Linked DNA regions of Oryzias latipes. The protein of the gene in region 1 purifies or fractionates together with the protein of each later gene. This does not show direct contact. Links are inferred from orthologs where the notes say so. Each region holds a gene or a part of one and is shown on either strand. Other genes may lie near its edges. The genes, in order: activity-dependent neuroprotector homeobox protein, chromobox protein homolog 3 and znf644.

Region 1 (4,154 bases):
AGAGAGGAATATTAATGCATTCAAAGTTTTGGAACCTCAAATCATGACTTTCATAGATTTATTCAAACAGCACATTTGCATTTTCAGCAGCATTTCTCTTGCACGGACAGTAAAATCAGAAATTTTCAATTTAAATCAGAATACGTTAAGGTTTCTCAGGAGTCCTCATCAATGATTCAGAGTAACCGGTAGAAACCTAAACATATAAATTCCCACTCCAATTATCTTTTGATCCATTTTCAAAGAGTTCCCAGTGGTCTTTTAATCATGATTATCCCTTTCAGATCATCCCTTTGTTTACGTTCTCTTCCGCTAGCTTACAGCCCCTCACAACCCCAACCTAACAATACCAGTGCATTAAAAATGGTGATCAATTTGATCAAAGTTTGAGACAGGTGCCAAATCATGGATCTAGTAGTCTACATGTTGACTCATCAAAATCGAGCAGGAAGCTTGTAGCTTGCCGTAGCAGCTTCTACGTCACAGCTACCAACTTTTTCCAACAGCCTTTTTTTTTCTCAGAAATGTAATTTTAAGCTCAATTTTCATAATAAATGTCCTCCATACTGACATTAAACACCAAAGGAACCTGTTCAGAACACCAAAAACACGATTTTCATTGGAGTGGGTCTTTGAAGTCAATAACCTCTTTGTTTACCGAAGCGTGTTTAGAGGGCAGAATACTCATGATAATCGTGGGCATTTGTTTGAAAACCCACTGAAATATGGATGTCAACATGAACCGGAACAGAAAGTTCTGTGGCTGAAAACAAATGGTCAGATTGGAAAAGACCTACAGCTAAAACAGTTCACCTAATTAAACGTGATTGGCGCTTTGCGGGAAGGTCAAAGGTCACAGAGAGTGGAAAAACAACTGCTGGATGCCAAACATGTCCAGGGAGCACCTGAGGCGGTTCACTCCTCCACCCAAAGGACTCTGGGTGCTGCCATCGCCTCCCTCGCCCCCCCCATAACCTGTAAAAACTGAGAGGCAGACTTCAGTCCACTTCCCACTTCGGCCTTTTTCCTGCTTCCCTCCCCTTCTTGTAGATGGCGCTGGAGAGGAGTGACATTATGTAAGCCTCCCTTCACTCCGCCTGCCCCCCCCCCCCCCCCACCTCATAACACCAATGGAGAACGGCGCCTCCTATTGAGGAAGCAGCAGCCCCCTACAAAAAGGTCTCTGCAGTGGAGGGGGAGGGGATGAGAGAAGAGGAGAGGAGGGAGTGATGTTGGAAGGGAGGAAGAGGAGGAGTGAGAAGCAGGGAATGGAGGAGGGGGGGTTAGAGGGGTGAGAGAAGGAGAGGGGGGGTGAGCAGCTAGTGTGAAGGAAGTGTGAGGGAGAGATGGAAGGGGGGAGTGAGCAGAGGAAGTGAGGCTGGTTTGGGTAAGGAAAAACAGGGGAGAGGGGGTGGGGGAAGAGGGTGAGAGCAAGAGGGGGCAAAGGATGAGGAGAAGGGAGAGGGAAAAAAGGATAGGGAGGAGAGAAGGAAGGAGGGAGGGAGCAAATGCTAGAGGAGGCCACTCTGCTGGCAGAAAACGGGTTCTCCTCCAACATGAAGAGGCCTTTGTATCTCCTGCAGCAGCAGGACACAGCCATGTTCTCTCTGGGAGCACATGCTGGAGCACCATCCAGGTGTGCACGCAGCTTCTGGGGTGGGGTGGGGGTCTCCATCCACTGCAACAGCTGCAAAAGTTTCTCATTCCTTGATTCTGAGGAGGCTGGATGCCAATCTTCAATTATGATGGACGGACTTTCACCTCAAACTCAGTCCGGAAATATTAATATTCTACAGAATGCTAAATATAAGGAGGGTGTTGACTCTTGCAGTTGCTCATAACTCCACAAAGGTTTCATTAATTGAATGCTACTGCATCCTGAAGCCTCTGCATGTTGGACTTTCTTCAAACTTATGAACTACGTCCCGCAGAAAAAAATGACAGCAGCCCTCCTTCCCCCTGGATTGGGGGAAGGCTGAGCTGTCACCACCTCTGAGGAGCCGTTTAGGAGCCCATACCAATAAACCTGAAGAGATCCTTGAGTTCCACTCAGAGTGCGCGGCATCAGCCCCGTAACACATCTGTGGGATGTCCAACATCTGGCAGGATCCAGAACGACAAAGAGTAGGGCGCACGCGCGCTCTGTTAGCCCGCTAAGCTAACAAACAAGCACCAACGGGCTGGACTCGGAATAGGCTTACTGTCGCCTCAGAATCAACCACAAACTCTTATTTTACTTCCTTATAAAGAAGTTGAAAGATATTGGAGTTTACAGAGACCCGCCCTGTTCATATAAACACCCGCCTCGTATACGAGTTACCTTAGCAGCCACCCAGCAGGTAGCCACGGTTAACGGCGAACACCCGGGGTTCACCCCCGCGGGAGGACCTCCAAGTTTACCTGCTTTCGCGTCCGCAGCGCCCGGCTGACCGAACTACGCCCGACCACCGCGATGTGGGGACACTTGCTCCGCTCTCGCCCGCTCAGGTGCTTCGTTCGTGAGGTGAATAGCAAGCCCCCGCTGCCGCTCTACCCCCCAAACCCGACTGTCCCTCTCCAACGAGGGCTGTTTTCTTCCCTGTGGTCGGCAAACAGGAACGGTGGGCGCGCGAGCTTCATCAGATAATTCCGAGGCTCGTTTCCCCGGAGCGCTGCGGGCGCAACGACCGGGTTCGCCCGCTCCTGTGAATAAATGCTCTAAACTCTGCCTATAATTTCCTGGAAGCGGAATCCACTTTGCCCATTCTCTCCTGACAGACAATACACATCCAGCCTGGAAACTGCCCTATCCAAAATGGCGCAAATAAAGGGGCGGAAGTGACGTCGGCATCATTAGCATAAACCATCTTATTGTGAGATCCCGGGTCGTGCCGTCTAATGAAAGCCCCTGATTGGTTTGTCATCAATCAGCGGCCAATTAAGCCGTTATTTATTACATTTTCCTTAACAATTACATACTTTTGAGGCCTAAAAGCTTTATAGGCTTTGAGAGAGGCCATGTGGAGGATAAACAACCCTAAAAAGCAGTTACACAAGCTAACCGACAGCGGGCGTCCTACTAGCTTGGTTAAGTCGGCGCATGCGTGCTGTGCTTACATCTGGTGTACCCTCTTTCCTCCACTCTCTTGAGTACAGCACTTAAGTTCCCAGCCGGAACACTAGGTGGCGCTAAGAAATGCAGCAGAGATAAAGGCTCACTCCCATACAGACTGTGAAAACAGTCTTTTTTTTTTTTTTTTACAATCTATGGTTGCTCCTAATAAAAAGGGTGTTAAAAAATACATCCAAATATATTCCCAGAACATCTTTATTTTGACCAGACAGATTGAGCAATTGTTTTTTCCTTTTACATTGCTGCTAATCACACCTGAACTCAAACTGTTAAACACCTATTTTACAATAAAGTGTCCTTGATATTTGTGTTGTCTATACAGTCCTGCTTCAGATTTAATGAACTAAACTAAAAAATATATAATAATAATAATAAGTGAACAAAGGAGCCAGCAAGACTTGATCATTTTTAACAAACAAAAACATTTTTAAACTGTAACCAGCCTAACGCCTTCATTCTGTGAATTGTCTGATTTAGGAATGATTAAACCGTTTTTTTTGCAAAAAGTGATGGGAATGTGAAACAACATGGGAGAATCTCTGTGCGTGAAAAGGCTTCCAACCGGGACACGTCTTTTTTTCGCATCAGCTGCCGTGCCACTTTTTGATAATCCAGGTACATTTCTGCGCACAGACCTGAAGACCGAGAGACCACTACAAAAGCTCAAGATGATCATGTTGTGGCGAAAAGCATGAGCAGTCCTTTTGCAAAAGACACGATCTCGTTGCCTCCCAGTTTGGATTCCCCGTAGACGCGGTCCACAAAGGAGATGGGAACCTGGCAAAGACAAGAACTTTAATGTCTCTGAAACATTTAGGACATAAGGGTTTGTTGAGCTTCCATTAAATAAACTAATGAAGTAAAGGATGAAGAGTTCGGATCGTAATAAATCACATAAATCACATATATCACCTATATGTGCCCATATAAAATATACAGTCTAATTATTTTAGAAAAGATTAGCATAAATTGAATTAAAATACTCTTAAAAAACATTTTTTTTCGTTGTTTTTTAATGCATCTTTTGTGTGAAACAACTAGG
Region 2 (4,201 bases), on another chromosome or scaffold:
TATGAAAACTATGGGTTCACAGCTTTACAAAGTCAGCCAAGTGTGTGAAATAATTGTGGAGTGCATGAAGTGACATTTTTCTTTTCCTGGTTTAGCTTAAAGTTTACTTTTCTGTCTCTAAGTTTCGCAAATGTGTGTCTTTCTTGTTTTTTGATTGTTTGCTTGTTGATTGCTGATAGTATGGTTTTTCTTGAAGAATTTAGGCGCTTTTGGGGGATTTGTTTACTCTGAATAAAAAAAGAAAGTGGCATTCTTGTTGTTTTTTCTGATAAATATAAGATTATTGTTCACATTTTATGTGTACCTTTAAGTCTAAGCATTTTTTAAAGTGGGGTGAATGTCTTTCTCCTAACTTAAGTACTTTGCTAGTGCTTTAAGTTTTTATTATTATTATTAATCCAAGTACAACTCAAATCACACCATTTGGCCAGTGCTGTAGTTATTTGGTATTGTCAAAAATGGTAAAGAAGACATTTTGACAAAATTACAATTTTTCTAGCAGAGAATTTTTTACTAACTCGGTTCACTTGGTGTAGAAGATATTGTTCACTATTGCAAATAAAAATAAAAAAATAGAAACATTTGGATTGCAAAAGTGTAGACTGAAGCACAGATCATTTTATTTCGCCTTCACACTTATAGCAAAGGTATTGCTTTAGTGTAACTAAATTTAACAGACAACCTTATATTTATCAAGTAAAGATTACTGAAAATGAATCACTTTACATTTGATAATCACATTGAGACAGTAAATAATTTTCACAGCTTTAAACACTGATACTTAATTTTTTTCACACTCAATCAATACAACTGCACTGACACAATATTGTTTTGTGTATTTGTTATTTTATTTAGGGCTTTATTATTAGGATTCTATGCACCCAAATTCTGTAGATCATTCTATAGCAGGTAAGTTGGTTTGCATAAAATAAACATTTTTTGTAGTATTCTTTAGTAACACGAGTTTATTTTAGCTCAGAAGTCATTTGTAAGCGTCAATATCAAAAAAACTCAAGACATACAGAATATTTAAAACACAAAAACAACTATAAGCTGTTCCTTTATTAGTGAAAACGATAGAAATGTGTCAATGTTTTAAACATGCTGCAAAGCTTTACTCGTGTATTCTCATTTTTCATTTAAAATGAAAAAACATATTTTAAAGATTGTGAGATAAACCGTTATATAAACTGAGAAAAAATAAATGACGTAAAAATAAACTAACAGGACACCGTAGAGTCACAAGTGCTCTAAAGCAAATTGTTTCCTTACGGGCTTCCGTAGCCTACTCGCCTTTTGCGTTTGGCGCGCACCCTCCTTTCTTCATCTGTACATAAAGACAGGCAGTGACCGCGTGGTTGAATAAGTCGTCACCGAGGTCATTTTCTAGGCTTTACAAGGTATGTAAGCTACGTTTACCGGTATTAAATGCTGCATCTCATCTCTTTGTTTTTGAACTTTTTTTCTTAAATAACTAAGACGTAAGGAGTAATTTAAGCTAACTTCTTCATCATAGAAATGAATGCAATGAACCGAACAGAATTTGTATTTGACTCTTCACAGCTCAAGCTTTTTAAGTTTATCAAGCCCGAGTGTTGTATGAATAGTATACTTTTAGTTTTAGACTGTTGATTGTCTCGTTTTGCTATTGCTATTAACTTAACACTAGCACGAACAATCTTTCGTTTTTTTGTTGGGTGTCGATATTGCTGTATTGTTGTAATTATTTGAGGCGTTAAGGTAAGATCTAAAGAAAACACGTTTTTGTAGCATGTTGATGTTCCTTTTTAGTAAAAAGATATAAACAATGGTACCATGGCCTCAAACTGTTTTGGCTACGTTAGCATGTTGGCTAACCCAAAGGACGCTAGTACCATTTACGGAAAACTTGCGGAGTGAACGTGGCCGAGTCGCGTCCGTCGTAAAAAGTTGGAAAAACTAAACACACACATGCTGTACACCTTTATATTTACGGTACAAGCCTTTCTGCTAAATGTGGGTCCTACAGGTGAAGTGGAAAAGGGCAGTTGCGTGATACATCGGCAATTGACTCTCCTTCCTCTTGGTTTTAGAGGCCAGAATGGGCAAGAAGCAGAATACAAAGAGTAAGAAGGACTCACAGGACACGCAGGAAGAGCCAGAAGAATTTGTTGTGGAAAAAGTACTCGACCAGCGTCTCGTCAATGGGAAAGTAGAGTTCTACTTGAAGTGGAAAGGATTTACAGAGTGAGTTAACTGGAGCCTCTCCAGCTAGTTCTTTAGAATGGGGAAGGGGGGTTGGCCTGTTTACTCTGTTACCACATTTTTATGTGGTTAAGGAATCAGACATTTACAATAGATTAGCATGAGCCTTAGATCCAATTTTAAAGTTTTTGTACATTTATACTATGATTCTTAATTTGACCCCTCCCCCTCCTTTAACTTGAGCTTTCATTTAGCTAAAATTAGCCAAATTTTTGGCCTCGATTTTCCTTCTGGCTTATGGGTATACAAAATGGGCTGAATACTTCAGGAAAAGAACAAGACAATTGGCTCGAATGTGGCAAGCATCTGCCCTTTTTCTTTGTTTTCCACTCACGCTGTAACTACCCATATAACGTAAACCAAAATTACAAATAGTTCATTTACATGCAAGAAGACACCAGATTATATGCTTTAGACAATTTTCTCATAACTTGACCAGTCTTGTTATTTTTTAAAGAACACCAGATTGCCCTGATCACTTGATAACCCAGATCATTTGGATCTGATTGGTTTCAGATTGTTCTGAACATGTAGTAAAGTCATTTTTGCATGAAGCTGCTAGTGTTCTCCGCATCCTGTTAGCTTTACATTTTTTTTAAAAGTCATGATTTATATGCAATTGATCACAGCCCTCTTAACTATTTAGTGCTGACAACACCTGGGAGCCGGAGGAGAACCTGGACTGTCCTGAGCTGATTTCTGCATTTTTGGAATCACAAAAGAATATTAAGGAGAAGCCTGCTGCTGTTAAAAGGAAAGCCTCCACAGATGAGCCAGAGACAGAGCCCAAGAAGAAAGACATGGTATGTCACAATGTCATTGCAGTACTTTGAGCTCAGTTCTAATTAGTCATTCTTCCATTTTAAAACTGTTTTCTGAATGTTCATGTGCTTCCACTTTAGGCTGAGAAACCACGTGGCTTTGCCAGAAACCTGGAGCCAGAGCGAATTATTGGAGCAACTGACAGTAGCGGGGAGTTAATGTTTCTGATGAAATGGTACATTTTTATAGAATGTCTCTGACTGTCTACTAGACAGAACCTTTAAAAGATGTTTATGAAATGAAAAAAATTATAAGATAAACATCCCACTTTAAAATCTGGTTCATAGGATTATCATTGTAAAACTCCTCACTACACACTTTATACACTTTTCTCAGACAAACAAACATTTTCACACTTTTCTCTCTTGTTTAAACTCTCAAATAAGACAATAAGTCCAATATTTTAGAAAGCAGACAAAAATCTGGTCACAATGGAAGATGTTTGTAATGGGCAAGCTAAACGCATTTGTACAGGAGACATGGGAGGGAGGAGATGGATGACATGGTCATCAACCAATCAGGATCCAGAGGGCAATCAAAATAAACATGCAAAGATATTTATAAAAATTTGAAGCAGCGATAGATAAACCACAGCATAGGGAGGGGTTAATGTAAAACTTGTTTTAGGTGAGCAGTACAATTTGGCCCAGAATGAAAACTTCTAGTTTGAACGTTGTTCACATTTTCTCTTAACTTCATTGGTTGGTTCACAAAAGAAACATTGTGGAAAGATGTTATTTATTGTGGAATATCATATGACTAATTTTTTTAAAGTAGTTTTATGTTGAATGTTTTTTTTTTCCATTTGTGTAACGCTGTTTAATTTTTTACAGGAAAGACTCCGACGAAGCGGATTTGGTCCCGGCCCGTGAAGCCAACACTCGCTGCCCTCAGGTAGTCATATCCTTCTATGAGGAGCGACTGACGTGGCATTCCTGTCCAGAAGATGAAGCTCAGTAACTGTTGTAGTTTGTGCTGTTCTTTGCATTACCTCTGCTCCTTTCTCAGGACGTTCTGTGCTCCTGTTTCCTGCCTTATCCTTCTAGTTACATGAATTACATAGATTTTTTTTTTTTTTACGCTTGTGTGGTTTTCAATGAGCTTTAAGGTTGTATATACTGGTTCAAAGCTTTTT
Region 3 (3,649 bases), on another chromosome or scaffold:
CCTAAAATGTTCCAAACTTCAACCAGGATTTGCCACAAGTCAGTTTAAATGGTTGAGATGGTCTTACCTGCAAACAGCTTCTCAAGCTGGATTCCAAGATTCTTAGTGGGCTATTCCAAAATTTTGGAGAATATATCTGATAGACCCCGCTCTATTGGGGGAGAATTGCTACCTTGTAGATTTGAGTTTACTTCCAGGCAGTGACTGTGTGGGATTGTCACTAGTTTCAGAATCTCTTTTTTTTATAGTTCTCTTCATAGGATTTCCCTCCAGCGGTTGAAAACCTTGATTTTTCAGTTAGGGAGGCATTGTGTCTCTTGTGGCAATTCTATGAGATTAGAGATTGTTGTAACTTGGTTTTGCAAATCTTCTCCTTGAAGTTGTCCTATTGTCCTAAAGCCCATCTAGATAAGATTTTGACGATAGGACAGTTAAGGACAACAAGTTAACATTAGTCAGAAGTTAGTTTGTGAATGACGGTAGAGGAAAAAAGCTCAGCTCAACAATAATTGTAGACTGTTTTTGATAATCGTAAAATCTGGTTATCAGTGAAATCACAGATTCAGGAAGAACAGTGACATCCATAATAAACTGCACCAGATCTTCACTAGAGACTCTGGAGAATCTTGGAAACATCAGGCCCATTACTGTACTTAAGATTTAAAGGTTTTCAACCTTGTCTTGCTGTATGTAAGTGGTGGGTTTTCAGTGAGCAGTTTGAGGTGATTTCTTTCTTAAGCCTGTACAAACAGAGACGGCACTTGTTTCTCCTAGCTAGTGATTGATTTAATGCTGGTCAGAGTTTAAGTCATTTCTTTATCACCTTTTGTTTGGATAAAGAAATCTTCCTGTCATGTAGTTACTTTTGGAAGCCAAAAAAGAAATTGTAATTCTTATTTTGCAAATGCCGCAATCTTTTTTTTAGTTTAACCAGACCATAAACTTAGGTTGACGTGGTTAGCAATTAAGTGTGATGTGGTCTCAATGACGATCAGCAGTCCAAGTCTGCAACAACATGTTTTAGCAGAGAAAGGGTAAAATGTCCTCTGGAGATTCAGTTGCTTTGGTACCTAAAAGTAGTTTTAGGTATCCGAGCATACTTTTCAAATGCAATGGAAAATAACCTTTGCATCTGGACTAATGTTTACTTTGTTCTAGTCCATTGTGGTAAACAGGGTTTAGTTAGAAATGAGCCTGTATGCTTACAAATCTATAGCCCTAAGCTGTGAGTGGGGATCACACATGAGGTGGCTTGGGTCTACCTCAGAAATAGGGTGAGCAGCTTGTTCCTCCAGAGAAGCTCTACAATGTTGTTCTTCAAGTTGTTCTTCACAACAGAAAGTGGTTTGTAGAGCCTGCGAGAATGACACTTCCTGGTCTAGCATTATGTATAACCACCAGGAGCCCCACCATTTCGATCAAAAGGAGGACTTTATTTGGAGAACTTTGAAGGTTACACTAATAATACTTAAGAAAGTGGGATGTATTTGCTCAGTCTCAGGACATACCATGTCTCACTACAACTACAATGATAGCAAATGTAGTTGCAGTGAGGACTGCTACTAAATGTCATTATTGTGTGAGTGTATCCAGCTTGATACCCCCCCTCCCCCGAATCCCAAGTAGCCAAGATGCCAACATCCCAACCTCACTCCTGATCTGTGAGAGCGGTCGCCATAGAAACATTGACTCAGTCTGACTCGGACCAATCACTGTTTACTAACAACGTCTGGTTCCAACACGATGGTGTCCGTACTGCAACAAAATAGGTACTGAATTGACTCAAGAGGACCGGGCTGCAGACAACAACATGGTGCCCAGACAGAGATGATAAGCCGGAACTAAAAGTCCAGAACCTTTTTTGGTCCAAAAACACCAATTTATCTGCAGATCCTATATTTTCTATGGGTGACGTCACACTCACTCTGTCCAGCTCTCATATACAGTCAATGGGTCATACCATGCTTGTGGTGCTACATTTATGGTGTCATGTTTTTATATTGGTTTATGCTCATGCACATTATGATCAAATGTTTGTGTTTCCTTTTGTTCTCCTCCCCTCCTCAGCGATACAGCTGGAGTCAGATTCTGAGACTGTGAAGGGTGTTCATGCTTGTCCGTTATGTGGGGACTCCTTTGACAACAGAACTGGGCAATCCAATCACATAAGAGGCCACCTGAAGAAACTTGGCAGAAGCTTTTCTACAAAGAGCAAGTCCCCAATAGTTTTACTTCGAGAGCTGATGCGCGACAAGAAGGAGTGCCAACGAGCTCTTCAGATTTTAGGAAAAAGGCGGAACCATTTCCACTATGGTGCTTCACCAAAGCTGCACACTGCGAATCGCTTCACATCTTCATTGACGGAATTCCCTAAAAACAATTCTTTTACAAGGGTTAACACAGACACCAAACCCCTGACAACTTCATTTTCATTAGATGAAAGTGAGGCTGAAAATGGGCACCGGGAGACAGATTTGGAAGTCAAAAATTCCCTCACAGGCACCAATGATTTGATAGGAATTCTAAAGAGGAGGAAGTGCCAGGAAGAAGCCAGACTCAAGGCGTCTTCTCAAGCGTCTAGAAACGTGTTAAAAGTTTCCTCAAACGGCGAGCTCAGTTCAGGATCAAGGGTTGCAACACTGCCAACCACAGGAGCCGGTAAGTACCTGTAACTTTCTTCTTGTAAAATTTTTATTTCTTACAGATGTTGATGTGGTTTCAAAGAAAACCATCCAAAGTTTGGCATTACACTTGGATCCACTGTTCTTAAGAAAACTTAACTCAGTTTATTTGTGAAGCACCAACACAAAAGCAAAAGCAAGAAGCATCATCAACCAAAGCTAGACTCATCAGTGTAATCCAGCTCAGTTCAGAAAGGCCAAATTCTTTAAACGGTATTAATAACAGCCTTTATAAAATATCAGATTACATGGCATTACATCCCTTTAGATTACAAAGTTGTTGTTTTAATCCTTGGTTTCCTGCATGTCGCAGTTCTGAGTTTTACTTGTTCCAATCTCCCGTGATCTTTTTCCCCTGTGTCTCGTCAGTCTTGTTAGTATATATGTCTTGTCATTGCCTTTCTCTGTGCTGGTCCATACCATCTGCTTCCCTGTCTTCCTGTTTACGGCGACAGTTGGGTTTTGTTTTTGGTTTCCCTGCTCGACAGTGTCTTTTGTTTGGAAATTAAACCCCTTTTACTTGGAACCGCCTGCCTCCCGACTCTGCATTTTGGGTCTTTCACCAACCCACGTACCTGACACAGGGCATGTCAGAATTTACATCAAACTCCTTTACTGCGTCCCCTGCTGCTGTAAAGTCTTTCTCCTGCCACAGTGCCGGACAGCAAGTCGTCAAATTGAGTCACAGAGAGACGGCAGAGAGACGGCTGAAAGCTGTTGTCATTTAGACGCAGTTGCTGCTCCTGTCTGGGAGAGTCTCTGAATGCTCTTGTGAACCTAGACGTGTAGACGTGCACTGCTCATCCAGTCTTTTGTGCAGCTCTTCAAAATAAATCCACCTGATCCCTCATCAGCACGTCGTCCATGATGAGCTCGAGAAAAACTTTGATGGTAGCTCCTCCTCCTACATGTGGCCGTACCGTCGGGTTTATTAGCACACTTATGCATCTAGCAGCGACTTTAATACA

What was found.
Region 2: the proteins of activity-dependent neuroprotector homeobox protein (region 1) and chromobox protein homolog 3 purify together in Homo sapiens (affinity purification with mass spectrometry; 7 studies listed by BioGRID and IntAct, with this or other methods). This does not show direct contact. The link is inferred for Oryzias latipes from reciprocal best matches to the Homo sapiens genes ADNP and CBX3.
Region 3: the proteins of activity-dependent neuroprotector homeobox protein (region 1) and znf644 purify together in Homo sapiens (affinity purification with mass spectrometry; 3 studies listed by BioGRID and IntAct, with this or other methods). This does not show direct contact. The link is inferred for Oryzias latipes from reciprocal best matches to the Homo sapiens genes ADNP and ZNF644.

What each region holds. Positions count from the first base shown.
Region 1 is NC_019865.2:4,532,804-4,536,957, forward strand, and holds the start of activity-dependent neuroprotector homeobox protein, read right to left. Parts: upstream 2,920-4,154; 5' UTR 2,401-2,919; intron 1-2,400. Other genes in the region: dpm1 (dolichol-phosphate mannosyltransferase subunit 1), read right to left, coding at 3,785-3,889.
Region 2 is NC_019869.2:11,215,411-11,219,611, forward strand, and holds the start of chromobox protein homolog 3, read left to right. Parts: upstream 1-1,268; 5' UTR 1,269-1,400; intron 1,401-2,072; 5' UTR 2,073-2,080; coding exon 2,081-2,226; intron 2,227-2,890; coding exon 2,891-3,047; intron 3,048-3,146; coding exon 3,147-3,241; intron 3,242-3,899; coding exon 3,900-4,026; 3' UTR 4,027-4,201.
Region 3 is NC_019875.2:5,864,572-5,868,220, reverse strand, and holds part of znf644 (zinc finger protein 644), read left to right. Parts: intron 1-2,067; coding exon 2,068-2,658; intron 2,659-3,649.